2 linked regions of the Drosophila melanogaster genome follow. The protein of the gene in region 2 interacts with the protein of the main gene of each other region in a pairwise test. Each region holds a gene or a part of one and is shown on either strand. Other genes may lie near its edges.

What was found.
Region 1: the proteins of CtsK1 (region 2) and Secp43 interact in a two-hybrid assay, tested with the Drosophila melanogaster proteins (one large-scale study listed by BioGRID).

Annotation. Positions count from the first base shown.
Region 1 is NT_033779.5:4,447,830-4,463,376, forward strand, and holds Secp43 (tRNA selenocysteine associated protein), read right to left. Parts: upstream 6,625-15,547; 5' UTR 6,534-6,624; coding exon 6,498-6,533; intron 6,437-6,497; coding exon 5,462-6,436; 3' UTR 5,340-5,461; downstream 1-5,339. Other genes in the region: MFS18 (major facilitator superfamily transporter 18), read right to left, coding at 1-22, 77-464, 531-598; CG15439 (uncharacterized protein), read right to left, coding at 1,687-2,534, 2,944-5,122; ND-B8 (NADH dehydrogenase (ubiquinone) B8 subunit), read left to right, coding at 6,900-6,997, 7,059-7,165, 7,227-7,309; Gs1l (GS1-like), read right to left, coding at 7,497-7,909, 8,285-8,503, 8,557-8,620; RpL27A (ribosomal protein L27A), read right to left, coding at 9,552-9,680, 9,911-10,228, 10,460-10,462; mRpL27 (mitochondrial ribosomal protein L27), read right to left, coding at 11,175-11,378, 11,437-11,600, 11,655-11,703; CG15435 (uncharacterized protein), read left to right, coding at 12,149-12,304, 12,375-13,730; CG15443 (uncharacterized protein), read right to left, coding at 13,995-14,734, 14,795-15,131.
Region 2 is NT_037436.4:13,983,888-14,002,391, reverse strand, and holds CtsK1 (cathepsin K1), read right to left. Parts: upstream 8,162-18,504; 5' UTR 8,041-8,161; coding exon 7,992-8,040; intron 7,602-7,991; coding exon 6,612-7,601; intron 6,533-6,611; coding exon 5,922-6,532; 3' UTR 5,821-5,921; downstream 1-5,820. Other genes in the region: Nprl3 (nitrogen permease regulator-like 3), read left to right, coding at 766-899, 959-2,657; CG17359 (uncharacterized protein), read left to right, coding at 3,210-4,229; CG17361 (uncharacterized protein), read right to left, coding at 4,554-5,186; CG9040 (uncharacterized protein), read right to left, coding at 13,965-14,450; CG17362 (uncharacterized protein), read right to left, coding at 15,276-15,737; CG17364 (uncharacterized protein), read left to right, coding at 16,884-17,271.

The sequences.
Region 1 (15,547 bases), on a different chromosome or scaffold from region 2:
TTCTCTCATTGGGGCACAAATTCTGCAAACGATTAAGTTATAGTTTATGTGTAAATTTATAAAATTAGCTAAGCACCTGACTGGTTAGACTAATCATGCTAGGAAAGTGCACGCCCTGAAGAGCGCCGTTCAGGATTCGAATGGCAACAATGAAGGGAATAGCGTAACTCTTGATGGAGCCCGCCGTCCAGATGATAGTGGGCATTAGGAATGTGATAAGCGACCAGCCGATTGCGGCAAACAGAATGACTCGCTGGCCTCCAAAGCGGTCGCTGAAGTAGCCGCCCACAACCTGCGTGAGTGTGTAGCCCCAGAAGAAGGAGCTGAGCACAGTGCCCGAGTCGGTTTTGCTCCACTTTTGGGCGGATGCCACGGCCGGCACAAGAAGTGGCATAGTGGTGCGGGTGGAGTACAGCATACAGGTGCCCGTAATAAGGGTGATGAACCAGACACGCTTCTCATGCCTGCAATGATCCGACAAAGGAGTTGTACTTGGGGAGGTTTAGTGAGCTGTATGCTGTGAGACCCACCTGGTCCAAATGCTCTGCGTGTCCACCAGTTCCCCGCGCAGCAGAGAATATTTTAGCTTCTCGTCCATGGTCACAAACTGGGTCCGGAACTATTGCCTTTCCTTCACGTCACATATCAACTCCAACTGCTTCGTTGCTTGCCGCTGTGGCATATTTTACTGCCCTTTGTTTACTTTCATTCACGTTGGCGACTAGACACGCCAAGTATTTGCGCCTGTTAAAATTATGTTTTTACGTGGCCGTTTTTCCAACAGCCGCTGGACTAGAGCATAGTGCGGCTTGGTCGACTTGGCTATAGACTTCACTTTATAGCATAATATCTTTTCAACAATATTGTATTTAAGCATAAACATATATCATTTGTAGTTCGAGCTAAAAAATCAAAACATAAAGAATATATTTCCTTTAAACTGACTATAGGTTGCAAATATATAGATATAAATTAACCTAAGTACTAAATTAATGTTCTCTTCTAAGCCCGGTGTAGGGCATACCGAAAAGTACATCGATTTCGTTGTTTATATGATATCGAATGCCGTGAATCGATTATCATTCGATAGCACAACATGTGGTTGGGCTCCTAACAGCACATTTAACGGAAATGCCAGTGGAATGCCGATAAAATACAAATCAATTGTATTGGAATTGGTATTTGGTACTTGTCCATAACTCTGATTGTTTTCAGGAATATGATGGAAAAATGCAGAGTTTCCTTGCTAAAACACCAAAACATGGTCAACATTCGTGGTCAGATCGTTAATAATTTGAAAATTGTATAATTTTATATGTGTATTTAAGAATCAAAAATGAGATGGAATGCTGGTCATGCTAAATAATAAACAACAATGTTAAATTAATTTCCGTTTTCGTATCATGTCGGTTGAACGTCTCATGAGTCCTTTTCGGGTTCCGTCTTTAATGAAATCCAATTCGGTAATATTTATATGGTTTTTATTAATAAATGTATTTATAAATATGTTAAATAACTGAGCCGAACAATTCAGCGAGTGACAAATTACAATTTGGTCAATATTTTATTTTTAATATGAATGTGTCTTACTTATTTTATTTTGTGTATTCAATTTTAGTTTTGTAAATATCGCACGGACCTAATGATATTAATGGTACAAAATCTACGTAAAAATCATGTTTGCTTCTATTTCTTGGGCAGTGCATCCTCGTCCGTGGGATCACAGTCGGCACAGTGCCAGGAGTAGCCGCGAATCTTGGGCGACTTCTTGAGCGGCGGATCGAGGCAGGCGAAGTGATAGTGCCGGTGGCACTCGTCGCAGGTCACCACCTGGTTGGACTTGCCCGTCTGGCTGCACACGCAGCAGCTGATTTCCACATTAGGCTTGGCGTTGGACACCCGTGGTCGACCCACACGCGGCTTTCGGGGACTTGCCTTTCGTGGACTGACCTTTCTTTTAGGTGATGGTGTGGGGTTGACGGAAGCGCTGGCCGCAGTCTCCTTGGGCTCCCGAACCTTTTGCGGTGACGCTGCCGGCAGCACGATGGGTGCCAAGGCTTGCTCCGCTCCCTGGACACTGTCCTCGACTGTTTCAACTGAGGTGGGGCGCGAGGCTTCGTCCACGGAGCGCACCGCATTGGCCGGCACGTAGAAGTATTGAGACTCCGGCGCATCCTCGCCGGGTAAACGCAATGCCTTGAATATAATCTTAATGGTGCTGCCCGAGGTGTTGCCCGCGTTATCCAAATGGGTGGAAGACTCGTCAAGGTGGGCGCGCTTTTTTCGCTTCCGTTTATGCTCCTTGCCGATCGATTTCTCTGTATCCGACGACAGGTTGTGTTTGTTTTTGTGCTTGTCCTTGCGCTTACCCTTGCGCGATAATTTTCCACTGGAGTCGTCAATCGAGTCCTCACAGCCAGATAGGTTAATCACGATAGTATTGGGCGTGGGCAGTGTTGGAGCTGCCGCAGGAGTAGCCGCCGAAGCGGCAACAGGAGCAGCATCAGTTGTGGGAGTGACATTTTCGGCAGGAACTGGCGGAAGAAGATCCGTGACATTAGTTTTATTATTTATTATTAAACATACTTGAATTTGCGCAAAAAATTTTTTCTTTATTATTTGTTAACAAAAAAATAATTTCTTGTATTAAATACCAATTGGGTATAATTCAATAAACGTAAACAAAGATCAATGTTTGAGATAGTTTTGACTTTCTTTGTACAGGCCAAAAAAAAAACAAGTGTAGTGATAATCAGGATTAAACAGAAAACCAATTTCTTCATAAATCATAAATTTCTCTAACCATCAAGCGAAAAATTCCGTTAATTCACGCATACATATTTACACATTTGCATTTAAAAAAAAATAAACCAAAAACTCCAAATCAGCAATAATAATCTAAACAGGTATTGTGCCAAATCGAATTCTCAACAACGAACTCACCATTAATTGGTGTTTTACATGGGGATTGGAGTTTAGGCCGTTTCGGCGACTTAGTCAGATCTTCTATATATTCCGGAGCAGGAGCTGGCAGGGATTTGTTGAGCGCTCGCTTGGTGTGTGACTCCTTGGGTACATTGACAGCGGCCACTGGAATATCGTCCAGCGAATATCGATCCACATAGACCAGATGGCCATCCTTATTGAAGCGAGTGCGTGACTTTCTCGGACCCGATGAGATCTCCGTGACGGCATCCGAACCCTCAGACTTGTCGCAGCATTCGGAGCACTGCCAGCCATACTGCTTGGATTTCTTTGGGGGTCGAGTGAGCGGCGGATTCAGACAGCCCAGGTGGTAGTGCAAATTGCAAGTGTCACATTTGACCAACAGATGCTGATCCTTGCTCCTCTTGCAGATGCCACAGGACACAGAAGGGGCCGCCTCCACGGATGCCGAGGAAGTGCTGTGTTTGCCCTGTTTGGCATGAGTACTGAGCATGCGTGACGAGTCCATTTTACTGCCCGGTGGCCCCAGATGACCCAACGGAAAGCCCACGCCCATTTTCAGTGCAGCTGCCGTGGGCACCGAGATGGGACGCTGGGGTGGAGTCGGCGTACTGGTCTTTGGCGGCGCCTCTGGCAGTGGATGCGCAATGAGATCCACGCTGGGCAGCGTCATGTTGGGTGCAATTTGGCCCAAAGCCGTGTGCAGAGACTTAATGCTCGTTAGCAGGGAATCCTTAGTGGCCTTCACTGCCTTGCGCTCCTCCAACGCGGTGTCGTATTGAGCTCTCAGCACGTCTTGATCCTTGGACAAGATAGCGTTGTGCGAAATAAGCTCCCGCTGCTGCTGACGGAAGTCATCCATGCGGACTATACGGTCCATGTAGTAAGCAGTGAACTCAACGCTGAATGCCGGCGCAATGTGCCACTTCTTCCGAATGTCCGTCAAGGCGTTAATGTGCGCCTCGCGCTGCTCCAGATGCTGCACATCCACTGACATAATCTCCGCCTTGGCCAACAGTCGACGACAGGCGGAGGCCGAGGTGGTGAGCAGGCGTGACATTTTCTGCGTTGGCACCCACGGCGTGGGCTTAAGCTCCTTGTGCCTGGTATACTTGTGTTGGATCTTGAGCAGCTTACGCTGAATGCGTGCTTGGGCTGGATTTGGGTGAGGGGCAGGTGTCTCATGTTCGGCAGCTAACGCCTCTTTTTCCCTCGCCCGTTGCATCATATTGAGCCGCAGTGTGTGGTAGTTGCGCCGTCGCTTCTTGATCATCTCCTTCTCCGAGTGCACCTTGCAGTGAGCGTAGAACGGATCGGCGGCATCGTCCTCGTGGTGCGCTTCGATAAGAAAGCCGGCCACCTGGGCGCAGGTCACGTGAAAATAAGTCTTGCACATGCCTGCATCACAACCAATGCAAACGCCCGTGCGAGCGAATAGAGCGTTCTCGCAAAGGGAACACACCTTGGCGCCCCACTTGCTGTACTGCATCTCGAAAAGCGTCACCGAGGACAGCTGCTCCACTTCGCCAAAGGCCACGCCGGGCACATACAGAGCGCAGATGAGGTGCACCCACTTGCCCACGTCGGTCTCCTTGTAGATGCCGCCCTTGTTGGGACACAGCTCGCAGTCCGGTTCCGAGACCCCAGCACGACAGGCCTCGCAGAACCACGGTTCCGTCGAGCAGGTGGAGTTGGTACTGGATATGCTCACGTTGTCGCTGACGCCATAGCATCCTTCGTGGACAGATACGCCGCAGGAGTCGCACTCCACGATCTCGTTGACGTCGTCGCTGCGTTCGCCCAGGCAGACGCAGCACATCCGCTTGGCCGGAGCACTAGACAGCTGAAGTGGCGCACGAGGCACTACTGGTGCTGCCGGGGAGGAAGCTGCGCAGTGGTCCACTCCATTGATCCCGTTCTCCAGTGGTGACGGTTCCGTTTCCGCCAACAGCTGCCGGAGCTGCAGTGTTGAATCCTCGCTCTCCGCATCCGAATCCGATTCAGAATCGGAGCCACCACTGGCGTCGCTGCTGCTACCGTCGCCATCGCTCTCGTCCTTCGATCCGTCCGAGCAGTTGTCGATGTCCGGCAGGAAGTCGCTATCCGAGGAACTCTCGCCCAAGTCAAAATCGAGCAGGGCCTGCGTAGTAATCTTCGGCTGCCGCGCTCGCTTCATGATTCAACGCTTATTTAGTCCGCAATTGTCTGCACAATCTCCGAAAGTCTCGGGCCAAGGCAGAAACTATCGACAGTCGATAGGCCGACATGGCGATGACACGGACAGAATAGTATTCCGTCTGTATATCGATAAAATACATCTGTTGTAAGGATATTAGGGATATTTTGTAAAAATGTATCCTTTATTTTGAATCCTTTGTTAAGAAATGTAGATTCAGGAGCATAAAAGTTTATAGCAGGCTCAAAAACAATAATACGCTACAAGTCAGGCTTTTATATTTTTTGCTTATATCTAAGCTGTAATTATAGTAAGCTATAAATATAGTAGATAAGTATCCTAAAAGACTTCCAGCTGCTCAATGGGCAGCCACTTAGAGCTCTCCAGAGCATCGTACAGACGGCGGTCGGCATCAATGGCCTCTCGGTTCAGTTTGTCCACATCCAGGACGAACTTGTGCTCCACCAGTCCGTTCTCATCCTCAGCTCCATTGGCGGCGGAAGCGGTCTGCTGCTGCTGCTGCTGCTCGTACTGGGCGCTGCGTTGTGCGCTCCAGGCCTCGGCGTGCTGGGCCAGAGTCTGCGGATTAGAGTGCGACTGCGACATGGCCTGCTGGTAGTATGCAGCCGCATCTGTGATCGAAGCACCGGCCTGCTCGTAGTAACCTTGCCAGGCCTGGTATCCCTGCCAATAGGTGCTGGTGGGGTCGTAGTACTGCGAGTAGTCGGTGCCACCTGCTGCAGTCATACCGCTTCCATATCCATAGTTTGTGTTGCCTTCGCCCACAGCACCACCCAACTCGGATTTGGGTTTGGGCACGGCATTGCAAATCTTTATGGGCTTGGTACCCAATCCGATGTACCCGTTCATGTCGTACAGCGCTGATTTCTGCTCATCCTCGATGCCAAATCGCACAAAGCCGTAACCCTTGGAAAACCCCAGGCTGTCCAAGATCACCTTGGCGGTTTTGATCGATGTGAACTTGCTGGAGAACACCTTGTACAGCTGATAGTCGTCCACGTCCGAGCTGAGGTCGCCCACCCAGACGCTAAATTCGCGTTCATTCCCGGGCAGCTTGTACGAGTTGCTGGCCGAGTTAAGACGGAATCGCACAATGGGATTGGTGCCCGGAATGGGCTTACCGTTTAGCTTGTGCATCGCGTCCAGCGCATGGTCATCGGATATGAAGTTGACGAAGCAGTAGCCGGCCGGTTCGCCCGTGTACTTGTTGCGCATCAGGCGCACCGTGGTGGGATCTTCGCCCATCTTCCGGAAAGCGGCGATTATGAAGTTCTCCGTCATGTAGGACTCCAGCTGAAATGGCCATGCGGGCTTAAAGGGTCATGTGTCTGGGGTAATGCACGTTGCTACTTACGCTTCCCATCCACAGTTGACAATGCACGGACGCCATAATTGTTCAAATACGTGTTCAATTGAATATTTTCCAGAGACAAATGATGTTTACCAAAACAAATGAGTGACTGGCCGTCAAGCATTTATCGGTATTTATCGATGTGGGCCAATCAAATGCTGACCTGGTGTCAGCCAAGACAATTGCCTTGGTTCTTGTCTTTGGAATGGATATTCAAACGATGCAACTAATGGTTCGCGTCTCTGGTGAGTTAGACGTTATTTTAGTTTGAGCCAAAAAGTAATTTGTTTTTAAAAAACAATAATACCAATATGTAATCCAAGACAGTTTGACAACCCTGCGTAGTACCGACATTTAAATAGACTTACTTCCTGAACATTTCAAAATCGCAAAAGTGGTGCCAAAATGGGTATTACTCTGTTCCGATTGGCCAGTTTTACTCCAAAACTGAAGGAGCTGCGAATCATTCTGGATCCCAAAGGAGACACTTCCAAGGGAGTCAGGTGAAATTGTCATTTTCCGCTTTTAAATTATATAATTTGCTAAAGCAGCGTTCCTTTACAGGGAATACGTGGAAAGGTTCTATCCAAACCTGAAGAAGAGCAATCCCGACCTGCCGATCCTCGTGCGCGAGTGCTCTGGCGTCCAGCCCCGCCTCTACGCCCGCTATGGTGAGTAGATTAGCATAATGTGCGCTGCTAGCTTCCCCCACATCGATTCCCATGTCCGCAGGCAACGGCAAGGAAGTGTCCCTCTCCCTGGCCAACCACGCTGCTCCTGACATACACAAAAACCTGGAAGCGGTTGGCAAATAGAACTTACGCTGGAAAACTATGTAGATTAGGCGCAAAATAAAGGCAAAGCCAGATGCTTTATGCACACATACGTATACGTGTATATGGGATAACATTTACACTTAAATTCATTTTCTTGGTAGGTACATCGATTTCCAATTACAGCAATAGCATCTTTTAGCTACAAAAAGTACGTCAGCCATTAAGTTCAATCCGTGAAGGCGGGCAGCCCGAACTGCTCCGGCTTGAAGTCCGCCAACGAGGCCAGCACTTGTGTGGCGTGCGAGGTCTTTTCCTGGGACAGTCGTGGGTCCGGCACCATCACCACCTGCATTCCGGCGCTGTTGGCAGCCGTCACGCCGTTCGGCGAGTCCTCGAACACCAGGCAGTCGGACGGTTTGGGCGGCACACCGAATCTGCCGGCGGCCACTAGGAAAATGTCGGGCGCAGGCTTGCCGTTGACCACCTCCTTGTCCGACGAACCGCACACCTTGTGGTTAAACAGGGAGAACAGCTCCCGATGTTGGGCCGTCTTCAGCTCGACCATGTCGGCGCCGGAGCTGGTGGCCAAGCAAAAGGGTACCTTGTTGGCGTGCAGGTGACGCAGCAGGCGCTCAGCACCTTGAACGGGGAAGGAAGCACACGATTAACAAACGGCTTTAATCACAGTAGGATAGTAATTGAAGCAGAAGTATTTATAGGGAGAAATGCCGATTAGTTTTCTGGTCGTGGTGCTAACCTTCCAGCAGGGGTACGTTGTGGAATCGCTCGTGGCACATTTGCGAGTACCGCTTGAGATAGTCTCCGGTTGTGATGGGCAGCTGGCACTCGGTGATGGCTATCTCTGCCGAGCGCTGGTCCGTGGTGCCCATTACCCGGAAACGCACTTCCTCCGGATACGGGCGGCCAAAGGAGGCGGCTATTTGCCGGGTGACCTCCTCGTATATCCTCTCCGTGTCTGAAACGTGACGGCAAAGCGAGAACTGGGATTAGTACCTGGCATCAACTGGGCGTTCCGCATCAGGATCTCGGTGTTGGCGCGCTGCTGGCGTGCGTACTCCTCCCACGACATCGGCAGCTCGTAGTGCTCGACCATGAACCGGGCCAGCGGTTCCGTCTGCAGGCCCATGACCTGCTCCTTGATCTCAAAGGGATATGTCTTGCCGTAGGGCTCGAGGATCATTTCGGTGGCCACAGTATAAAGGCGTTCGGTGTCTGTTCGGCAAATAGTTAACACAGAAAGCAGATACAAGCACGGCAGCACTCACCCAGCAGCAGACCGTCCATGTCGAAGACGCAGTGCGTCACCTTTCGCAGCACTTTGTTGGCCATCTCGCAGCAGTTCTCCTCACTCTGGGCTTCCGATTATGTAATGTTACAAAGTCAACAAGTTCGTTTCCTAACTGCAACACAGAGGTCATAATCAAGTTACTTTGTTTTTACTGGAACATCCCCCGCCCACACAGGCATGCCCTCCACTTTGACTACGTTTCCTGGATTCGGTGCCTCTTGTTCGGTCGTGTCCTTGACCCAAGGTCGCCGCACCCCATCACCAACAGCAAGGTCAAAGATGGAAGTTGCCCTCATCCCTACGGCCTTGACCTACACGTAATCTGCTTCCGCTTTTTGCAATATCGGGCGTCTCGTACTTTTCCGCCTCTTCCGAATTTTTCCGCGAGCTTTCTGCCCGCCGCTGTGTGACCGTAGCTGCGAAGGCGCAAAAAGCCTAGTCGAGAATAGTGCTAAAAATGGAGGGATTAACTGATAATGCGCACCGACGCAGTTATACTCTTTAAATTACTATTTATTTTCTTTATATTATTACTGTTCCTCTTAAGTTACAAAAATAGGCATACTTCTAATATTGTCAAACTCATTTAAATTTGCCCTTGTTATTTGATTCAAAATACAAGTTTTCCTTTGCCACAACAAACTAACCATATAGAAATTATTCTTTATAAAAATATAAAGGAAAGTTGTAGCAGGAATAGAAATAGAAAGTTCTAAACAACTTGCGCCAAGCGAGCAGAAAATGAAGCCCCAATACCTTTTAGTAAACACATTTTGTCGGAATAGCAAATACTTGTTTTTCTTTTAAATTTATTAAAAAACAAATACATTTTTGATGGTCGAATGTAGTCCACTTGCTTTTTTCTTCTGTAGAGGAGGAATCTGCAAGGGAAACAATAGCAATTAGGATACTGCACTTCATTGCTTCGCCGACGAATAGGTAAGACAGCTAGACACACAAGCTCACCTTAACTTAGGCGCTCAGCAAGCACACACCGCCGGCCTTCTTGATCTTGTCCTCAGCCTTCTTAGAGAAGTACTTGGCCTTCACGATGACGGGGCGGGCGGGCAGGTGACCACGGCCCAGCAGCTTGTAGTAGCCCTGTGGAGACATGAGAAGGACACCAGAGTCAATACAATGGGTTACAACGGGGTGAGAACGGGTGCACATCCTCTTCAAGAACTGCTGGCTTTGATCTGAAAGGCTGTCCTCTACACGGTGAGAGCAATTGTACGGTAGCATTCTGTCCGCCCATCGCCTTGGGTGTATCTTCATGTTGAAAGCGGCAGCAGAGTTCGCGTAGCTGGATGGGGAATTCGGGCGAAACTTACGAATTTAACCAAGTCGATGACGGGAGCCTTGGTGCTCTTCTCCTTCTCCAGCTCGGCGAACTTCTCGGCTCCGACCAGGGACCAGAGCTTGTCCAGGTTGATCTCGGGCCTGAACTTGTGCTGGCGACGCAGATGGAAGTTCCTCATGCCCACCTTGCCGAAGTAACCAGGATGGTATTTGTCGAAGTTGATGCGGTGATGGTGCATGCCACCAGCGTTACCGCGACCTCCGGGATGCTTGCGGTGCTTGCCGATACGGCCGTGACCGTGGCTCACATGACCACGCAGCTTCCTGGTCTTCTTCCGCTTGATATTCGACTGTAAGGGAGAGCAGAAAAGAAACGTGTTTTCATTGAGCATTCCTCAATCATTTTCACCCACGTGCTGGAGGTTATGTTTACTTGCTCCAGTCGCTATGCTCACTTGGCCATTGCAGTCAGTGGGCAGGCATGCTGCGGCACTTTGAGTGAGCTCTTATTTCTATTCCACATCATTCGCCTGCCCACAAACCACATTTTAGGTGCACCACATTTACCGACGTCCACTCACCATCTTTAAAATTGTAGGAAAGAAAGAAGCGAAGTTGGCTGCGGTTGTAGCAGTGTGACCGCCCGGCGGCGATAACAAAAAATACGAAATACCATCCGGACAGAAAACATATACCCCTAACTACCATTTTAGTCTGAAAAAATATCTCGTACACACCATTATATTTAAGATAAATTTAAGTCTATATGCATTATGAAAATATATAATCATGAATAATTAAACATAATACTGCATATATAAGCGTTAAATTGAATTTCACTACAACAATACTAAATAAGTTTTTACATTCATAGGATAAAACGTGTACTTGATTTAAGCGAAATTCTGTAGGCAGTGCCTATACCGTCATGTGCATAATTTTATAATTTCTTATAGATGATTATGGCTTATTATTAAAGTTCATTTTACAGTTCAATAGCGTTCGGCTTGGCTAAAAAAGGGGGAAGTGTAGTTTTTGTTTTTGAAGTTCGCAATGTAAAAAGTTTTGCGAAATTAATAATCGAAAATGTTGCATTGATATCTGGCTATTAACTGGATTTCTTTTCAAATTCGGGGCGTGTATTCGATAGTTGGTTCAGAGCATTGCTAAATACAGTGCTGTATAACGGTCGTGCTGGCATGTAAATATAACAGGTGCTGTTAAGCACATCGATGTTAATTGCCAAAAATTCAAATATTCACATTTCCATTTGGTTTAAATTTTGTATTTAACAATCTAGATTTCCTCCACTAGACGAAATCGCTGATGCTGATTTTCGGGCACAACATTGAAGAACTTCTTGTAGATGTTCTGGCCCTGGCGACCGGCGTAGTTCCGCTGAATCCAGGTGTGGTCCCAGTTGGGATCGATGGCCTCGCAGGTCACATAAACCTTGCCGTGCTCCATGGCGAAAAGGGTTCCATTGCGGCCAAAGCCCACCTTTCAATGGGAAAAAGTATAAAAATATGCCGGGATAACTCCTTCCTGCGCTACTCACATTCAGGCCCGGATGAAAGCGCGTTGTGAGCTGGGTGGCCAGTATTGTGCCCTCGGAGACGTGGTGCCCATCCTGGACGCGCCATCCGCGATGTTTGGGCCTCGCATGGCCCTTCTTATTCCTCGTACTTCCGCCGGTTTTCTTGCTGGCATTGCGCACGGTGGCTAAATGGGATTGAATTGATTAGAATATGCAACCGGTTCGTGGGAAGTCCTTACTCATCAGCGGCTGGTCTGCCTTCAGGCACTGCATGGTCAGCTTTTGCATGATATTAAACGACATATTTGTGATTTTATTCCAGTAGCGAGGTTTGTTTATGCAATTCCAGATGGGCACCAGTGTGACCCCCGAGTTCAGCTAGATCAAGAGCATTAACAGACTGTTGGCCACTGTTGCCAATTGGTGTTAATAAAATCTAGCTTTGTAAATATATATCAAATAAATCTACGTTTGTATTTTCAACAGTATTATTTATGCTTAAATAAACTATCGTCTTAGTCATTAATATATCTGTCACGTGTTTAGCTAATAATAATTAATATTCAAAAAATTTGCTGTAATCCTGTTATAGCTAACTGGACATCACTGCCGCAAGTGGGTGGACTGTTGAGTTTTGAACCTTCAGTGGTAGGGCAACACTCGCCGGAGTGTTGAAAATTGTCATTGTTTATTTTTTCCGGCATAAGCATTAAGTTTAAGGTTTGCCATAAGTATGACGTCGTGGGGCAATATCTGCCGCATCTGCAGCAGCCCCGCAGACTACGAGATATTCGCCAAGATTCCCACGTATTTGCACGGCTCCACAAACGAGTTTCTCAACTGGCAAAAGCCCATAAACGTTCTGCTGGAGGAGACGACGGGCCTGAAAGTAAGTGACTCCATTCTAAAGTAGCCAGATAAATGTTTATATGAGTGCCTCCTCTTTCGACCGACCGCAGAACTCCACGGACGACGGACTGCCACGCAACATATGTGCGCCGTGCATCTCCTATCTCAAGCATGCCGTCACATTCCGGGAACAGTGCATCAAGAACGCGCTGAGTCTCAAGCTGGCGGAGCTCTACCAGCAGAAGAGGGTCAACGTTTCGGATGCGAACAAGATGGACAAGGAGAGCGCCCTCTTCACGGCGGAGGATCTGAATTATGTGGAGCAGAGGCCAGTGCATAATCTTCTGCTAAACAACAGCGCCAACAAACTGGAGTCATCCAAGGACAAGGTACACAAGCGACTGCTCAATCAGACGACTACCCAGCTAGACGGCAATGCTGAGCAGAAGATCCAGTACTTAAACGTGCTGTTCAACAAGCAGCAGCCTCACAACAGCATGCCCAGGCAACCGCGGGATGGCGAACTGCCATCGAGCAGTGGCCAAAATGACGACGAAGATGACGACTATGCGGTGGCCAGTTCCAGCGACGACAACGAGGAGGCGGCCCTGCTGCGCAAGCACAAGAACTGCTATAACTACACCGAGACCAACTTCGAGGAGGACGATCCCATGGAGCAGGATCAGCTGCAGCTGCGCGACATCAAAGTGAACATACCGGAGCCCATGTGGAAGGAGCGCAAGTGTCCGGCATGCTCCAAACGCTTCATGTTCGAGGACTCGCATCAGTCGCATCTGGACAACTGCGTCGAATACCAGTTCGTCACGTTTGTTACCGAGGTGACCAAGTTGCTCGAGATTAGGCGACAGAAAATGGTCTCGCCGCACGAGTTCATCCGCCGCATGATATTCGCTCTGCACAAAACTTGCGCCTGGCTGCAGGAACATTCCATAGACTCGCTTCTGGCCGAGAAGCTCAATCAGGTGAAGGTGTCCAACGGTGAGAAGATAGCTGAGCCGCCAATTCCCATAGATATACCCGATCCCCGGCCGGTGCAGGAACCATCTCTATTCGACTGTGCCAGCGGAACGACGACTCCGATCACGGAGGAGAACAACGTGCTGTACGCCATTGAGCGCTCTGAAAGTTGCCATTCCCAGGGCACGCCGACGGTGAAAAAACCCATTCCCATTCGCGGAAAGGCGGCGCTGGGAATCGGGCTGGACAAGCACAGGGAGAGAGCCACGTTCCTCGAGAAGCTGCAACGGGCCGCTGTCTCTCCTGGCACAGTTTCGCAGGGTCCAGCGCCCGTTTTCTCAGCCCGCTGCGGGCAGTGCAATTTAGAATTTGACTCAGTCTCCGAACTGGAGGTGCACAACCACAATGCCCACAGGGGCAATGAACTGAACGCCGACGACGAAGCCAAAAGGCGTCAAATAATCGCCCTCTTCGAGGATGATATTTAGGTTTTACAAAGTCCTGTTTTTCATGCCGGTGGCTCAATCAAACTAGTAATCATGTTGACCACTTTGCATCTGTGTTTTTGTCGTATTGTATTTATTTATTATTTATTTATTTTATTCTGTTTCCATTAGTGATTTAGTTTTGCTTAGCGGCAATCCATGTTCATTTACAATACATTCTCGAGTACTCAAAAGTCCGTGGCTTTATATTTATATGTACTCTAAGACCAATAAAGAGATTTGCAAGACTTATTCTTAACCATAAGCCTATGCGTATATTTGCAAGCTATTCAGTACCAGGTTGGAATCTGCTACCTTCAAGTGCAGACAGTTCTTGAGCAAGCGCATCGCGTCCAGGTTGAGATCTGGATCTCGCAGAGCGAAGAGCTGGTTTAGGGTTTGCACAAGATTCTGCGGGTCTGCCAGTGCGAATATTAGACTTGTGTCACCTAGGGCTACCAGATTGGTCATTACACGCACGGCGTAGATTAGGCACAGCCGGTCGGCTGGCGATGCTAAGGTGGCTTCAAAGAAACGCACCAGGCATTCGGCCTGTTGAGCATCTAACTTGTGCTCCTGTGTCACTATTTCCAGTTGGTGCACTATGTACATGAAGTACTCGCTGGCAGGCTGGCCGTGGAGCTTCTCAGGCAGATTCTGGCCAATGTACCTTCGATCCTCGTCACTCACATGCTGCGGGCAGCGGGTGGCCACCAGGGAGAGGCAGATGGCCGCATCTTCTTGGCAGCCATTGGGCTCGATGTAGAGCCTCCACAGCTTGGGTACTATTTGCATTTGCAGCAATACGCTGCCGGCCTTGTCGCATGTGCCCAGAACGTTGGCCAGTGTCCACAGGCAACTGCGCTTGAGGCGTTCGGCCTTGCCATCAAGGTAGGTGACCATGTAGCTGCCCGCCAAAGTGACAATCTTTTCGGAGACATGGGCCTCGCCCAAGGAAAGATTACACAAGCACTCCACGGCATCTGTCTGTCGTTGAATGTGAGGTCCTGAAAGTCAAGTCAACCTTTTTATATAAAACTAAAGCTAATGAGGGTGCAGTTGGTTACCAGTTAGCTCCTTAACCAGAACCTGAATGGCGCCAGGAATAGCTGCGAATGCATTGATGTTGTCATTGCTCTGGAGGAACCCCAGCGACAAGCGGCACAGATCCTCGGAGGTGGCGTGCTTGCGACGCTTGATCCTGCTGGCCATTCCAATGACGTCCTTGGTGCCCATCTCAAGAGCCGCCACTTCCTGCTTAACCTGTCCAAGTCCAATGCGCAATGAGTCTTTCGCCTTTATGCGGCACTCAACACGGTGATCCTTGGCATATGCACGAATCTTGTTTCGCAGAAAACTTCCCTCCCCAGTTGTCGTCACAAAGTCCATTTGTTTAAATTTCATGGAATCCTTAGCAAGTGAGCAATATTCCGATAATAATAACAGATTATCGATAACTATGAAAGGTTAACAGCACTTCACTCATCAGCTGTTAAAATTGTAAACAAAAAAGGTACGCACTTGTTTGTTTATATTTTATTTGGAGTAAGTAATGCTTATTTAATTTCAGGTCAATGGTGGTAATCTGAGCCCGGAATCGATGGATAAACATATTCAGTGGCACCCAGGAACCCGATTTTTCATATGTGAATTTATTTTTATACTGGCAAAGAAGTTCGGCGAGGAGATTCATTTCCTTTTTGTGCCTTTTTAATTTAATTTTTCTATGATTTCCACGGAAAAAGTCCAGTGCTCCTTCTGTCCAAAATTATTCACCACTAGCTAGGCGAAAATGTGAAAAAACTATACGAAGATAAATG
Region 2 (18,504 bases):
TTTGCCTCTCACAATGTGTGTGTTTTCCTCTTTTCCAACACGCTAATAAGAAATCGTCATTTTTAAAAGTGCTTTTACAGCCAAACTAACATGTTTCACAGGGGAATTTCATAGTTCTGCGATTGCCGCGTTCGCATACTACGCTCCCAGTTATTTTCACAAATTTTTTGTTGACGTTTCGAGCACAATTTCCACACGTTTTGCTCACAACTTTCCGCTTCTAAAAAATTAGAGACTGACCAACCGAAGACGGTCACACTACAGCGGAGCGATAGATCGTTATCGCTCGACCAGGGATCCTATACTATTAGCCTTGCCGATATATATTTATTTATATAGTAAGACCGTTTTTCGTTTAGTATTTTTTAGTTTTTGAATATATTATCTAAGGTATCTATGGTAAATTTAAACGATTTAAAAAAATTCCATTGCGTTGCATTTATATTATTGTTTCGCCTGCAAAATGAAAACTGACATGACTACTATTTTAAATAAGTTTTTGGTATTTTATGCAAACTAAAAGAGAGCCACACTGCTGTAAATATATTTTATATTTTACATTTATTTACTTTGCTTCCATTTCTCAATGAAGTCAAATTGAGGTACTAATAAATAAATAAAGAGTTGTTGAGGTAGTTTCTGTAGCAAACTACGATTTATAAAGTATTTTTGAAAACATAGCCAACTATTTGTTGACCCTGACCCCAGTTGATAATGCAAATGTTCATATTTTAATTTACATAAAAGGGGAAGTGTCTGTGTGCCATGGAAACTAATGTGAATCCCCTGGCCGTAATCCTGGTTTACTTCGATAGCAAGGGGGATCGGTTACTGTACAGGTATCCGTACCAGACTCTCGGCCAAACGGAGGTGGCCAACGACGAGCAGCGGAAGTCCAGGTACTACCTATTAATTCAAAGGGCACTCAGCTTGACTATACCGATTTATTCAATCACAGAAAGCGCAATCCCTATGCCGTGGCCAATACGGACGATCTGCTGCAGACACCCACCCACTTGGGTGCTGCCAAGAGCCAAGGACAACTGCAGGGATTCGCAGATGAGGTCCTGTCCGCTCTGTTTGCTGTTAAACCACAGCTATGCAACCAAAAGTTTGAACTCAAACTGAACGACGTACGCTTTGTCAGTCATCCCACTCTGATACCGCAAAAGGAGCAGAGAAGTGGTCCAATGGCCAAGCAACAGATGCTCATCAACATTGTTTTTGCGCTGCATGCACAGGCCAGCTACTCGATTGTTAAGTGCTACCACGAACTGAGCAAGCGCCTTGGACTGGCGCTGAAGTTCGAGGAGCAGCGCAGTGGCTATCTCACCGAGCAGACGGCTCAAATGGCTCGCACACACGACGAGCAGCAGCAACAGCCGCTGGAACGCACACTGGAGCTGATTGCAGAGCGCTGCAGCTTGGCACAGGCCTTGCGCTCCATCTTCCATGATCTATGCACCACTGGACTGCTGAGTACCTCGCTGAATCACAACCTAACGTTGTGCTTCTGTCTGCCCGCTAAGGCACACCAGCTCCATAAGAAGGGCAGCATGGTGGATCCAGAGACCATAGATCGGTGCCTTCGTGCACTGAAGCCCTATCATGGCATGTTGCTGCTGGTCGACTTTGCCGAATTGTTGGACTGCGTTCCACCGACTGGGGCACGCATGCTATGGCAGCTAGTCGACGTCTACGACCCACTGATCAGTCTGCAGAGCATGTCCTCCAATGCAGACTTGAGTATCGAGCATGTTTATAAGCTCGTCTCGCATTTGGTCTACTGGGCTAAGGCAACTATTATTTATCCACTCTGCGAGACAAATGTCTATGTGATCGCGCCGGATGCACCATTGCACACCAAGTCCCACCTGGTGGAGAAGTTCTCGGCCCGTTTTGCCGGTATGTCGCTGTTCGAGGTGATCTCCGATTTTTCATTGCCCACTTCAATTGGACACTTAACCACGCCACTGCAGCAGCCAGCGCGACAGGGTATCCTCGCACAAATGGTGATTTGGATGCTGCAGCACCATTTGCTCATGCAGTTGCACACGTACGTTCAGTTTATGCCCAGCGAGGATGAATTCGGAGATTCGGCCTCCTGCAGCAACCATCTAAGGGATGCCATTAGCGATGAAGAAGGAGACCAAGAACCAGATGCGGACGAGTTGCATGGCTCCATGCTTAGCATGTCCAGTCATCCGTTGCCAGTGCCAGCGGTATTGGTGGGCGGACATCGTCGTGAGGCGTCCGAGGACCATTCATCACTGGCCTCGGACAACATCGCCGTGCAGCCATCATCCAGCCACAAGTCCAATTTCAGCATCACCGCCTCGATGAGCACGGACAATTGCGACAGCCTCGATTCCATGGAGGATGAGCAGAAGCTGAAGGAGCTGCTACAGGTTTTCAGCGATGCGGATCGAGCCGCCATCCGTCGAATTCCCGCCTCTGCCAACGTGGATGATCTATCTCTGCTTGTGAAGCTGTATCAGATGGGTTACTTTAAGAGCGAGCATCATCTGGAGGAGATCATGTACTTCGAGAACCTGCGACGTTCGCAACTGCTGCAATTGCTTGATAAATTCAGGGATGTGCTTATCATTTACGAAACCGAAGATCCTGCAATTGCATCCATGTACAATACCAAGTAGAGTTTGGGACGAATTTGCATTCCTAGATTTTAATGTTGAATGTTTTTGTTTAGTTTTTGAATATAATCTATAAAATAGGTATGCATCTAATTTTGTAAAGTTTGCGAAGCAAATCAATTTACGCTTGTAGACTACATATTTTGTTATTTATTTGTACAAGCAAGTTCTTAAGTTCAATTCAATTATTGTCAAACTATGTTTTTCCGTGATTTCATACAAATTCAAAAAATTACTCATATTCAAAACAGCGTTACATTTTAAGCTTCGCGCCCATTGTACAGCTTTAAGGTATATCGATAAGTGGGGAATATTCTGATGCTCTAAGAGCCAGATTAAAATAAAATATTTAAAAAATACGAAAAACCCATTTTTAACTTAAAAAAACAACTTTAAATCATAAATCAAAGCTGATAAATTAATAAGATGCGAAGCACAGCTGATTATTCGGTATTTTTTTGTTGGTATATTCCAGTGATTGGTATTTTAATAGTTGCATTTTGTTGATATTGTATATTTTTGATCCTGCCTACGAAACTCTGGAGCTCGGCCACGATGGACATTTCGCAAATGTGCCGCGTTTGCAGGGACGAATCCGACTGCCTGTTGGATATATATACAGAGCCATATGCCTCCTCCAATCGGGTCCAGGAGCAGGAGCCGGTCTTGGCCACAATGCTGAGGGAATGCAGCGGATGCAGCGTGCATAAGGAGGACGGAATGCCGCAGTTCATCTGCGTGGAGTGTGCGGAGGCCGTAAGAAATGCCTATCGGCTAAGACGGCAATGCCGAAAGAGCCATCAGTACTTTGAACAGCTGCGTCTGATGATGAAGGAGCTGGACGATATAGAGTATTGCCTGAATATAGGGGATAACATAGAACCACAGATGCCGGTCTCGGTAATGGAAGCTGGTAAAACGCCGGAGACATCCGAACCTCTTTTAGTTGAGCTTGTGCAGGTTAAGTACATGCCTCCAGAGCCGAAGCCAATATCTTCTCCTCTTCCAGACAACAATGAGCATAAGCTCGCGCAAAGTTATTCTCCAGCAAAGACGCCACACAATAAGTCCAAGAGGAGGGCGAGATCCTACTCGGACAATGACTCATGGAGCCCGGATAGTGAGCTTGAACACGAAGATGATGATAAAATCTGGAACGCCTCAAAACGGGGCAAACCGAAAAGGGTTCCCGGACCATATCGGTGCAAGCTCTGCACACAGTCGTTCACCCAAAAACAAAACCTAGAGATTCACATGCGCATACATACTGGCGAGCGACCCTACAAGTGCTCCCTATGTCCGCGATCCTTTGCCCAGAAGGGCAACCTGCAGAGCCACACACGTTGTCACACCGGCGAGCGTCCCTTCGGTTGTCCGAACTGCCCCAAGCGCTTCCGGCAAGTTGGGCAACTGCAAGTCCACACCCGGACTCATACTGGCGAACAGCCGTTCAAATGTTCCAAATGTCAGCAAAGCTTCAAGCAACTAAACGGCCTACAAAAACACATGTCAGCACACACGCGAGGGAAGCGACGGACGAGCAGCCAAGAAACAAAAAGAAATAAGTTTAAATAGTTAAGATTTGTTAAAGGTATTTTCATATATTGAATGTCCATATAATAATTTCTTGTTTGAAATCGACAAAGCTAGTAATCGCAACCAAAGTGAGAAAGCTGCTTAAAAACTGTTGTGAATCGATCCGATTATCATTTCTTTATTATCTTATTGTCAATATGAGAACATGAAATTGTTTTTAAAACTACACTCCATATGTACTTTCATTATTAGTCGCTAACTTGTTTCTACTTTAAAAATATATCGAACTTATTTTTAAAACGATGATACAAGATGATTAATTACTATTTTAGTTGGCTACATTTTGCCAAGCGTTGCCAAGGACTATTTAAGAGCTTTTCGTCTGGTCCTTGTGGATCCTTTGGTGTGGGTGCGCCTGTGCATGGTCAACTGGGCCTTGCCGGTGAAACTTTTTTGGCAGTCGGTGCATTTGAAGGGCCGCCTCTTATCCACCTCGTTGCGAGTCTCCTTCTTCGGCTGCTTATCGTTCCGGTCCCCATCGTCCTCCTCCTCCTCCTCCTCGCTCTTGATGCGATCCGTAAAATCCCAATCCTCGGCCTCCAGGAGATCGCATGTCTCCTTGTCGCTTTGCTCCCTCTTCACGCGCGCCACGTATTCCATGGTCCTTGTGTAGCGTCTCCTGAATCTCAAGGCCTCACGCAATTTAATAAGGCACGGTTCGCAAATTTTCAGCGGAAAGCCGTCCCCGGTATCCACTGGATATGCGCTGCAGATATTCAGCAAATCAGCCGGCGTGGGCTCCGGTTCCTTGGTTCGCTGTAGATCGTCGCTCAGTCTGTCCCCCAAGCTCTTGTTGTCGTAGATGTCTAGCAGGTCCTTCGGCTCGTCCATACACACCCGGCACATCTTCACCAATTCATCCATGGCTTCGTTGCTTCCTTCGATTCCAAGCAAATACAATTCAAAAAGAATAACTAAACTGTATCGGATGACCATCAAGCCAAAACAGAAAAATACCAATTGGCGCAATTCCAGGGATGCAACATCTATGCCAATAAATATGTATTTAAATTTAGACTTATTTGTTGTTATATCAAATTAACTTATAAATATATTATTTAAAATGAACAATTAATCTAAAATGAAATGTAGTAGCAGTGAAAATTGTAGAATCAGTTGAAAGTATTCTTCATGTTATATTTTTAATTTATTTTAATTGAAAAACTGTAAAACGGGTTTAATGTAAAAATTCAATGCTTTGCTTGCAAGTTTTTTAAATAAGAAGGTATACTTATTTTTAGAATCATTATTCAAAGTAAAGATTCTTAAAACTAATTATATGTTTAATTTAATATTGATGAAATTAAATGATTAAAATTTTTAAAAATGTAGCGAGTTTTTACTGTAGAAATGATTTCCACTACAAATGGCAAAGACCCCGATTCGCATAAAACTGTTGCAACTTGCGCAAAGTTCAACTGGTAACTGGTCATTGTCTTCTAGGCTTATCGGCTTATCGGCATGGAATTAACTTAAGAAACACCATGGACTGCGGAGATAATGACCCAAGCTAAACTTAGCTCCATTTCCAGCCAAGCGGAGCAGTGATAAGATTCAAAAGACTTGGATTACAAAAGAGTTTATGAAATGTATTGCATATTTAGCGCCCTGTGGGCGTAAAAATAAAAAGAGTACACAAAATAAGAAATATGTAGGCGGGAGCGGGACAATCTACATCTCCACATAAGTGGGCATGGTCATAACACCGCAATTGTTCTTCTTGGCCGACATCAGGATGTAGCCATCGTTGCCCCAGTAGGTGGACCACGAGTTCTTCACCAGCCAGTAGTCCTCTCCATTGATCGAGCCATAGCCCACGGCCAAGACAGCATGATCCAGTCCATCTACATCGTTCTTGCACGTTGGCTCATAGTAAACTCCGTGCGAGTAGAAGCTAAATGTCTTGGGAGAAGCATCAATGGCCACCGACAGAGGACCGTGCTTGAGCAGAGCCAGCTTGAAGGCATTTGGATCGTTGGAGGTCACATTGACGAATCCCTTAATAGGTGCCACCAGCGTCACGTTGTTGACGTGACAGTAGCCATCCTGGCCCAGATAGGGACCGTACTCCTCCTCCGTGGGCACTCCGCCGGACTGCAGCATCCACTGGTACACGCGGAAATCCTCGCCACCATCGCAGCCATTGTTGCCATAGGCCCACGAGCAGTCAATCAACGCCTGCTGGGAAAGCCGGACCAGATTGCCGCCATTCTTCAGGAAGAAGGCGCCCTCCAGGTGACCAATGGTGCCAAATGACCAGCACGATCCGCACACAGATTGATCTAAGGGTAGTTTACGTTTTAAGCAATTCAATATTATCAAATTCATCTAAGTAAGTACTTAGGGAATGAATGAACCCACCTTTCACCGGAGTGACAGCGCCGTATAGCCGCCAGTCGTACTGGTCGGGAATCTCGTCCTTGTACTTGGGCACATCATAGGGGAACGGTTTGCCGGTGTTGTAAATGCCCGATGATTTGTATCCTCGTCGTGCCTTCAACTCCTCTTCGGTCTTGTCGGCCAAGTGATTAACGGCCAGCGTGTAGGTGAGTTTGGCCCTGTTCTTTGAGTGGATGTAGCGCAGGTTCTGACGGAAGATGTTCTTGCGATGCTCGTGTTCCGTGTCGCTGTGATAAGCAACTCCGTGCTTGCGCTTGAAATGGTGGAAGGCCTTGTCCACATGCTCATCGGTTCCGGATATAAACTCCTGCATGGGATTGAAGGTGGCATAGTGACCGGTGCCGGGTCCGGGGAATCCGACGCACTGCAGGCTGTCATCGATCTCGAACACCTCGTTGGGAATATCATCGTGCTCGTAGCTGTCATAGTCCAAGTAGTAATGATCGTAGTGCGATCCCAGCAGGGTGTTATAGCCCCTCATCTCGTAGCGCACGGGAATGGGCATTCGGCTGGAGGGATAATGCGGCGACTTCTTGTACCGCACCCACAGCGTATAGATGTTCTTCTTTTGGCCAATTGTCGACTCCAGGCGGAACTTGTCGCACGTGTAGCCCAAAAAGGATTCGGTGCCCACCAGGCTGAAAGGTTTCGCATCGGGCAGGATGCTCTGAATATCGACAGCCTGGTCGGCGGTGCCATTCACCTGCAGACAGGTTAGCTTGTTGTTCTCCGTCTTGGTGGTAATCGGTGCCAGCTTCAGCAGGGTTCCGTACTGACCCTCGCCAGCCAGTTGGTATGTCTTCACCATTCCGCCGTAGTAATCGATGCGGGATCGCCTCGTATTCTTGTCATACCAGGCGTAGAAGGGTTCCGCAATCTCGGCGTACGGAATGTACAGGGTTCCTTTGACTATGTAGTTTGGATCCCATTTCGGCGGATTCGTGGCATTAGCTATTGTCGTTGGCGAAAGTGTGGAGAGATTCAGATGAGAAATGAGCGGGAACTTGACAATAAGAAACGGTAAAGGGCAGCCATCGAGGTTTAAGCTCACGCCATTGCTTATATACTTCGTATATATACAGCTGCGGTCAAAATAGCAGTACATGCCCTTTTACGTTTATTTGATCTAATTTAAAAGTTTAATAAAAACATGTTCTTTTTACTTTTTAAATATACTTCATGGCAAAAAAAATGATGATAAGCTAAAGTTTCAATCCTAAAACGATGACCTCGATTGTTTTAATATATGCATGTGTGCATTAGTTTAAAGCGCACACAAACGCAGAAACAATTACTCTTTGTTTGGCTAAACACTTTAGCATTCTAACGTCTATAACTCACCTGAGAAAGCCAAGCCTGCGAGCAGGGCTAAAGCTAAAAACACTTGCATTCTTGAGAATTCACCAGAGAATTGTCTGGAATATTAATTGATCCCGACTCTAGTATACTACCTATCTTTTCGAAGAATTAAACTGTTCTGCCGGCTCAATAGTCCGATTGCTTTAACAACAACTTTCTATGGGTGAGGAGATAACGCCGCCGTGAAAAACATCGGTATTAATCGGTTGAAGAGCTTTCTAGTTTGTAATAAGAGCTTATCAAAGTTCTTTGCTTTTTGTCATGGTAGTATTTTATTCTACAAATTATTCGCAATTCTATGTAATCCGTTAACATTTTCTTTTATTTAAGAATTTCTTTATTAGAAGAAATATCTTTTCTGTTCACTTACTGAAGAATTGCTTCTTTATTTTAATAAAATATCATGTGCTTCGATTTTGTAACTTAAGAGGTTTAGTTTGATTTTGCAATATTATTTTAAATATCGATAGCAATTACAATTTTTATTGCGTGCACAGGGTGCACATGATTATACAGATATTTTATACATCTAGTGTGACCAAAGTGCTGAGATTAAATGTTTTTTTTTTTAATTTAAAATATTGGATGCACTTCTTTCTGGCTAAGCTTTCAATAAAAAATAATCGAAAAAACCGCGAATGATCTAATATTCAAGATTAAAATAGAAAAATTTGTCAGAAAAAAATAAAACCGTGTCTAGGGATCAAAATCGGGATTGGAAAAATTCTATTTTTAAATTCGTTAAACAGCTGACAGTCAGGAGGTATAGATAGTCACTCATCTGTCTCATCACAACGACTCTCTCTCGGCTCTCTCTTCCCTTCTCTCTGTGTCTCAGCGATATAAAGTCTCACCCTCTCTTCGGAACTTGAACCTACTCCAAGTTTTGCTGCATTGCGCCCGCTCTCAAACCGAACCGATAGTCGGACAGCACGGGATCCCGAAAGGACCCCGAGCAGATGTCAAGCTACCACCGAAGGAGCAGCATCGTCGTCGTTGTCGTCCTCGCCCACACATCGTTCTTTACCGTTACAGCTGTGGGTTCGGCTCAGTACCGTTAAGTTCGCCAATCGCACAAGTTCGATTCCCAAATCGCATGGTTTTTTTATACCAGCAAGAACTAGACAACACACAGATATCTGGTAATGTTGTAAGACGTGGATTAATGCAAACTGCAAACCGTACAAGTGCGCCGTACAAGAAAACGCAATTAAAAGTGCATTAAAAATTAAACGAAAAGTGCTTGTGTGTGCGTGCCAGTGAGGCAAAAAGTTTTGCCTGCGCCGAATTGGCCAAAGTTAAATGTTTTAAACGCCAAGTTAGGCGAATTATGTGAAAGTTTTAACGCGATAGGCGAAAACAAAATGTTTCTGTAATTGGCGGCGGAGGAAAAGCAGTCCGAAAAAGGTAGCAACGTTGCTGAAAATGAAATCAAACTTTGATTTATCGCTGATTGGTTCCTGATTGGCTGTTTTGGCAGGCCTTTTGAATCCCCACACAAAAACAAGAACTCCCAGACGAACATACATATACATGATCCATCCACATACATAGGTACTACAATACAATACATATGTATGTACATAGCTGTTGGCGTTTATATGTATGTGTTTTTGGTTCAAATCTGTATAGTATTATGGGCATAGAGGAGCATTTCCTGCCCTTGTCACAGTTGTTACATTTTCTCTATTCCGCCGCTCACCAGCTCACACAGTCGGTCATCAAAAAGTCAACAAAAACAATATAAATTATGTTCGTGGAAAAGCACAAGCAGCAGGATGCTAGAAGACCTTGAATGCCTCTTAAGGTGTAATTGGATATTGACGTGGAACGAAAATTGCATTTTGAGCAAGGAATAAGAGCTTCTTTGTAAAAGGATTGTTTGTAATATGAAGCATATTTGTTTTGGCCTTTTAGTGGAATGAATGTGATTCAATATAAAAATACTTTTGACTTCGTTTTCTCTCAATTTTTAACAAGAAATAGTTAACCATTTAGTGTAGATAATCAAAATCCTATGTGCGAAACTAGAGAATCATTTATTTCTCCCTAAAAGAGAAATATGTAAATAGTAACGTCGTATCCATTTAAAAAAAGACTAGTAAATTTAATTTTTAAATAACATTTACCTAAATTCCTGGAACCAAACTGAAAGGCAAAACTTTCTTATTTATGAGCCCTTTTCAAAAGTTTGCCAAAAAACATTTTTTAATTTTCTCACGTTTTAATCTCTCGCAAAACTGGCGAATAGTTCGTTTTGGTAGCATACTTTTACGGGTCACGGAGTCCGTAACTTTGAATTTGTGGGAATCAAAATCTGTAAGGCCCAGCTGACTTGGGCCCCCAGTGAAAGACAAAAGCCAAACACACACACACAAACACTCATAGGCGCGCGCGCGTGTGTGTGTGTAACCAAAAAATTATAAAACTTTTATTACCTTAGAGCAGGACACGTTCCGAAGGGAAAAACGGAAAGTTCTAAAATATATTGCATATACGTATACACGTGCATTTGTGTGCTGCTCTCTCTCTCTCTCGCTCTGAATGTGTGCGAATGTTTTTGTGTGAATGTGATTTGTGTGCGTCTGCGGGTCCTCTTTCGCTGTGTGTAACCTACATTTTAAACGGCATCGGCATCGGCGACACATAAGAAGCCAAAAGCCGTGGCCGAAACCAAGTGGGCGGGAGTCTGGGGGCGGTGGGGCATTTCGGCGTATGTAAATTTGCCTTTATCAGTGCCTAAAAGTAGGACCCCCATACACACACGCACACGAGTGCAGTTTCCGTAAAGCCCTATGTACCGCTAGAAACAACGGTACTCTCTAGGGGCAGGCGCACCGCTCTTCCGCTCTCTCCGACTTGCTCCTCTCAGAGAGGAAGAGAGGCAGAGAGCGGGCCAAGCAAGCTTCGGCGATGCAGAATGCAGGATGATGTTTGCGTTCGTTGCTTCCGTTACCGTTACTGTAACGGTGCCCCTCTCCCTTCGGAGAGGTTCTGAGGTATATCCTAGTACACACACACACACTCACACACAGGAGCAGCAGGATGTGCGTTCATTCACATTGGCATTGCAAGTGTGGGCTCTCAAAAAATAAGCTATTTTGGTCTACATGGAGTGAAAAAGGGTTACAAATTCAAAAAGGAATGCGAATATAAAAATGTATGTACATATAAAATTTTGATTTTATGTTCTCTTATTAATTTGTATTATTAAATATGAAAATATTATTTTGAAATACAGAATAATAAGGTCAATTAAAATAAATAAATGTGATCCTTAAATACACATTACGAAATCAATAATCTAACTAGATTCACACCGAAAACGTAGCGAACATTTTTGATTCTGAATGAAATGAAATTTGTATTCGCAACACCCTTTTTAACAGTGTATGCAATGGCCACTAAGCCCATGCCAATCCCTTTCGTTCTCGACTGCCCTTGTTATTGGACTTGCATTTCCGCTATGGCGCTACTTGCCCCAGCCGGTTGAAATTTATATGCAAAGTGCTGGAAGGGATTGCATTATGCACATTTTAATGGTTTGCCGAGACATAAAAATATCTCGCACTTAAATAAATTGCTCTGCTCTTTGCTAGTTACTCGCTCACTTTCTACGAGTCCTTTGCCCCTATGCCGCCCCTTGTGCTGCTGACAAAAACGCCATCGCTTATAAACGTGTCGGTAATTACATAAACATTCTGCCCACCGTCGGGTTAGAAATATGCACGTATTTTTGTTTGCCAACTAAATGCCTTGTTAGAGAAAATTTCTTTGGAGTGAGCAAACTTTTAGTTTCCCTGCCCTCAGCCACTTTTTGCCGCACCGAAGGAATGGAAAATAAATTGCCCTCGAGAAAATGCAAATTGTTTTTCAAATTATACATCCACAAGGAGGAAGTTTATGTCTTTGTTGGGCGTTTAAGATTTTTATCAAAAAGTGAGCAATGTGAAAAATTTTCAAAAGTTTGATTTATGTGCTAAATATTGCAAAAGATATCAACTTAGAAGAGATATAACTACACTCATGTATAGATTGGTTAGTATAGAACTATTTAGCTAGTAAAGAACGATAAAAATATGTATGTGAAGGAAATGCTCTAAATATTTATCCATATTTCACAAACATGGACAAGATTGTCTCATAATTGAAAAGATTGTTTGCGAGACCTATGTAAATAAATGGTCGTCATTTTTAAATTTCCAATTCATTTAGCCCCAGTCTGTGCCCCATCTGATTTGCATTGCAAAACATGTAAATGTCAAAAGCAGTATCTAAAATGTGACGATCTGTTCCTCAAAGGTGCCCATCAACGTCAGCAGCCACACCTACAATCTGCATATATCGGGCACTTGCCATCATCATCACATCATTGTGAGTGCTAACCAAAGCAACACCACCGACCGCCATCATCCTGGCCGTTATCATCCTCGGAGGCAAACACATATTCCATTATAATTCCCGCCGCTGTGTCCCACTTCATATCCCACTTCTGGCTATTTTTATGCCATTTCTGCATTGTTCATTGTTTAGCGCACATTATCGCATTTTCCTCTTAAGGCATCAGCCACAGATATTACAGCAGCCTTATCCTCCGCTCCCACCTCCCCTCTGATTCCACGTCAGCCCATCGCCTACAATTGCCAATGGTGTTAGTGTGGTGTAATACCCTGTAAAAGCTTAGCTAGTTTGGCGGATCCTGAAATAGGATACTTATAACATTCAGGATCAAAGCTGTTTTATTATTATAATAAAAAAAGGATTTTAACAAAATAAAATTATATATAAGAATGTATAAATCAAATCAAAGTTATCCACAATTTAATGCAACTTTTAGACATTTGCGTAGATAACACCAAATCTAGTAGATACATAGAATTTTCGATAATTTGCAACCATTTCCTGCTTGATATTGTTATTGACTGGTCATCCCAACCTAAGATTCCCGGCGAATTCACAAATCGGTTCATACCCTGGTGATCTGGTGGTGGGGATGTAGGGTGGAAACTAAAACGATGATTCAGATTGTTGCCACACTTGGCTCACTAAGCGGCCCAGCGGGTGCCACAAGAGGAAACATCGGTGTGTGAGTGTGGTTGTGTCTATGGATGTGTGCTTTGCCGCCACCAGCACACTGGAAGATTGGATCTCTCTCGGGCAAACACAAACACTTGGATGCGGAGTGGCTTTCATCTGGGCCGCAGTGCACTGGATACACGGGATTTCTGTTGGCAGTGCCACTGCCAGAATGTCGGCATTGAAATCGAAAACAATGGTCCCATTGTGGTGGCCGATGGCGCTACTCAGGCTCCTCCCTTTTCGTTATCCTTTCGCCATTAAACAATTGTCGCCTGTGCGCATCAGTAATTAAGTGTCCCTGTGCATTTATGTCTACTTGTATGAGGGCATAATTACTATTTATAGATGCTATTGGCTTACGTCTAAATAGAAACACAATGCGCCAAAGCGCTGGTAAATGTAAATGTGGGCGCCTAAAAATATGCAGCAAAATGCAGCTGACTTTGGTAATACTACGCCACTAGAACGATTTATACTAATCTGGCTGCAGAGACTTGTATATAAACCACAACAGTTTATTAAATGAATGTTTCGTTCAAAAAATTTTTTTCCTTTTAAGGAATACTTGATTTTTAGTTGGCTTTCGATTTTAAGTATTCAGAAACGATTTGTAATGATTAGTTTCTCTCCGAAGAAAGATCATTTAAGCCCTCAAATACAAAATTGTTGTATATTTTGGATTAATAATGTATATTTTTGGTAAATTACAAAACGTCTCCTTATCTTTGTATTTTTATATGGATTTTTTGTACAGAAAACAACATATGAAATATTCCCAGACTAATGTAGATTCTACAAGATGTCTCTTGGTCCTCTTAAAAGTTTGATGTAAAAACTTTCAGTGACTATGGGGAATTTATCCTTTTTTCGAACTGCTTAGCCTGTGCGTTTGCGTTTGTTGGCGGCAGTATTCGCCTTCTTCTTGGCTGCCACAGGTGTCTTCTTCTTTTGGGCAACAGGTGTTTGCTTCTTGGCAGACGCGGCTGCCGCTACTTTGCGTTTGGGAGCAGCGGTGGTGGTGCGCCTGCGCCGTCTAGCTCTGCGTGCAGCAGTTTTCTTGGCTTTTTCTGCCTTGGTTGGAGTTGAACTGGAGGTCGTTTCGGCGGAGGAACCATCTCCAGAAGTTTCTGAAGAACTACCTGTATCGGAAGCTTCGCCGGAGGAACTGTCCTCGGAGGTACTAGCATCATCTTCTGAGCTACTGGATGCACCAACACCACTTTCCGAACTGGACTCTACATCAGAGTCGTCATAGTAGTCATCACCATAGTCGTAATAATCGTAATAGTCATCGTCAGTGTCATCAGCACCCGTTACGAAGGCAACCAATATGGCCAGGCTTAAAACCAACAGCAGCCTCATCTTTTTTTTTTTGTATCTATAGAGTCAACGAACAGATAGGTAACCTTAGGTATAAACGTCTGAGTTTAAAAGTCTTCAACACTGGGTATTTATAGTTTTTTCTCCTCTGAAGAAATTTATAAATATATAAAGCTTTTTTACATTATTTTTCTATGTACATCTGTAGAATGCAAATATTGGTTTTTTAATTCATCGTCTTAATTTTCGGTGGCTTAGAGCACCTGTGTGTGCTGCTTGTATTTGTTTAACATTTTTCGATTGCTATATGTTGAAATTATGAAATTATATTTTGTGTTAGAGCACGAAAAAGTAATATAAACTCTTTTATATTAAAAGAGCCAAGGTCACAAATGTCTTATCTGGATTTTTGAACAATTTGTCTATGGTTTACGCGTTAGGCGACCTGCTAGTAGTTTTATAGAAAAAATAGATATGACATTAAACGTCTTTAAAATTATATAATTTTTCAAGTATATGCGGTGTATGTTTTTGTTTATCAAAAATATATTTATTTACAAATGAGGGAAAAAACACGTGCCGATAAAAACTTATGTAGAATGTTTTCTTGTCTTTTGAACATTGGGTGAAATAGTTAAATATATTTCAAAATTTCTGTGATATTCAAGTTTTGTACAAAATTCATAATAATAAACACCCATACCCAACAACCACATTCTTGGTAAATATCATTATCATTATTATATATTAATTCAAAACCTAACTTATAAACGTCATAGAAAAAAATCTTGGTAATTTTGGGAACAAATTTTTTTGGTATAATTTTTTATTTTTATAATTTGTAGCTACGAATATAATAAACTGGATTTATCCAGAGCGCCTACGTTTGTTGGGTCCAGCATTTGCCCGCTTCTTGGCGGCAACAGGTGTTCGCTTCTTAGCCGCCTTCTTGTTATTACTTTTCTTGGCAGCGGCGGCATTGCGACGTTTAGCTGCTGCCTTATTCTTGTTGTTCCTGTTGTTTTTCCTGGCACCAGCTCTTTTGTTCTTTTTGACAACTGGAGCAGCAGTTGGTGCTTCCGTAACATCGCTAGAGCCCTCGTAGTCGTCATAGGAATCGACGTCCCCAGAGTCGTTTCCACTGTCGACGTCAGTGGAGCTATCACTAGTGTCTCCAGAATCAGCAGTGTTGTCTTCGGAGCTACCGGCAGTATCGTTGTCATCAGCGTAATCGTAAGAGTAATCTCCATCGTCAGACGAATCAGTTGTCTGGGCCACAGCCACGTGGGCTACGAAGACTGCCAATGCCAGAACCAGAAGAAGTTTCATTTTCGTTTTGGGGAGATTTTGTGATCTAAACGAAGAAAGCTCAATCCTCTGGTTTATATACCAACATATCAGTCGAATCTCGTTTTTCATGAATCAAAAGTAAATATGATTAAACAAACACACATTCGTTTACTTTGGGCCAGCTGTGTAGATGTTTTTTTGATTATCAATTTGTTTTAGAAATTTTAGATAATAATATTAGCCCCTGGTGGTTACCTGTAAATACTTTTATAAATCAAGTAGATATATAACGTTTTATGTTGTGGAATAAAATAATATATTGTTTGTCGTCTACAATATAAAACGAACGTTTATAGATCCACTTTATCTACACGCAGTTAAAATTGCGTTCACTTTCAGAAAACGTTTTCAAACGCGTAATCTACGTGATTATTTAATGTGATGGCACGCACTACTCATATTATTTATGGTTATTTTAGTGAAAGCACAAATTTATATGTTTGACCTTTTTCCGTGCAATTTCAGCTCGGGATAACGAGCCGCGGCAGACCGAAAGAGGACCAACCCAGATTCGCAAAGTTCGTGCCATAAATCTGCAGTTTGCATGGAATTAATACCCGACTAGAAGGCGGCGGCAGACGTGCAGCGGTGCTGCACATGCAACACACATTAGTGGGTCACTCGAAGATGATGACGCTGCTGACCGCAACGGCAACGGTAGAAGTAAAACCAACAAAAACAAGCGCCACTCGAGCCGATTTGTGGCAGCGGGGGCAAATTATATAAAATTATCATGCAGGGCAGGCAGCTAGCTAGTTGGCCACTTGACAACGGCAGGCGGGACAAGGCTAAACATCATCATCAGGAGCAGCAGCAGCAGCAGCAGCAGAAGCACCACTACCATCACCACCAGCACCAAAAGCAACAACAGCGGCCGGCGACGTATACGTAATGTGCAGCATGACGTATACGTAATGTGCACCGGGGTTTGGCCAATTTGTCCAAAGCGAGCTATAAACCACTGAGGCAGCGGAAACGCAAACCAAAAACCGAAACTCGAGCTGCAAACTATAACATAAACTGAAACTGCTAACGACGCAAACGGAAACTTCTTGGCCAAATGGCGAAAGTTCGCAAACAATTGCGAATGTGTTGAGAAGCGGCTGGCGGTGCGAAAATGACAAAATGGCGAAGTTAACGTTGCCTTGTCTACTGCGGCGACTGCAGCTGATGGCGCAACAACATCAAAAACAGCAGCAGCTGCATCCACACGGCTGCCACTTGATGGCCATGCAACTGGGCCAGGCCGTGCTCCTCTACGGTTGCCTTCTCCTGCTCCACGCCTCCGTGTCCGCCTCTGTCCTGGCCACGTCCTCCGACTCGGCCGCCATTCCGATCCTGCTGAACATCTCCAGCACGATGGATCTGGATGGCGTACCGCAGCAGCAACAGCATGAGCATACCGAGAAACGCACGCGGAAGCGTGATGCCGCCAATGTGCCTGATGATGACGACTATGGCAGTTATCCGGACGACGTCGACGAATTGGAGGCCTTGCTTAATAATAAGTCAGGTGGGTTCGGGTTCAAAAATCACTACATTTTATTTTAAAATCTATTTTAAAGCTATTGATAAATATGTTTAAAGAAATCCCAAATTCTATAACTATAAAATAACTTGCATGTATTTTCGTTGTACATATAATTCCAATTCTGCAGCTTTTATTTTTGTTTAAATGTATATACACACCAGTTACTTAATTAAGTCCTTAAATACAAGTACTTGCTGTGAAAACTTATCTGTGCGCCGCTTTGTTTAATCCCATTTCGTAAATGAATATTTGTGGCTGCTGCACTTGCGAACCGAAATAAATGGAATTTTTGTTGATAATGCACTTGGCCGTCGCTGCGTTTCGTTAGTTTGCATTGACCTTTGCTCGGTTCCGGAGTCCCAAGTCCAAAAACCGCCGAGATCATGAGAGCCATAAATTGCACAACATCCAGTCGCCATTCGGGTCCTTTCATGGTTGTTTGTTTAACTTTTATTTTTGGCACATCCTGACCACCTGGCACCGCATCTGCCGCAGCAGCTGCAACTGCATGATTCACGGTCCCATCCATTTTATCTTGGCCATGATGCGGGAATTACCAAATACGAAAACACACGCTGGTAGCCCATTATAAGTTTTTCCAAAAAAAATAGTAGGAAAACAGCATGGATGTGCAAACAGATAGAATTGTGATTTTAATGCAATTGATATTCGGTGTGCAATTAAATATTCAATTTTGATCCAATTTGCATGCCAACGGCAAGCTGATAGTAACATTTCATATATGCATATTTGCACCTAATATGAACATTCAATTTATTTCTGACAAATTTGGTAATTTGCGTTGTTAATGTGCCAGCCTATAATATTTGATTCTAAGAGAATTGCATTTGATATTTGTATGAAGACAATTAAATTTTATGATTTACGGTTGAGTAAACACTCTGAATTCTGATAAACGTACGAAATATTTTACCACATTTGATAATCTGTTAGTAAATTACTCGGCACATTTCTGAAAAAAGTGCATTGTAAATTCAATTTATAACTTGTACTTGTTACAATTGTAAAATATTATAGTTTCACACTTTATTAGCAAACATGTGCACACATTTTTTTCCAACACCAATTGATTTTAAATACCAATTAAGAGGAATATTCAAATAAGGCTGCTCTACATATATAACACATTTGCAAAGCTCAATAAGTCCTTAAACTGTGCAAAAGGCTTTTGGTCGTTTTGATGGCCTGACATTC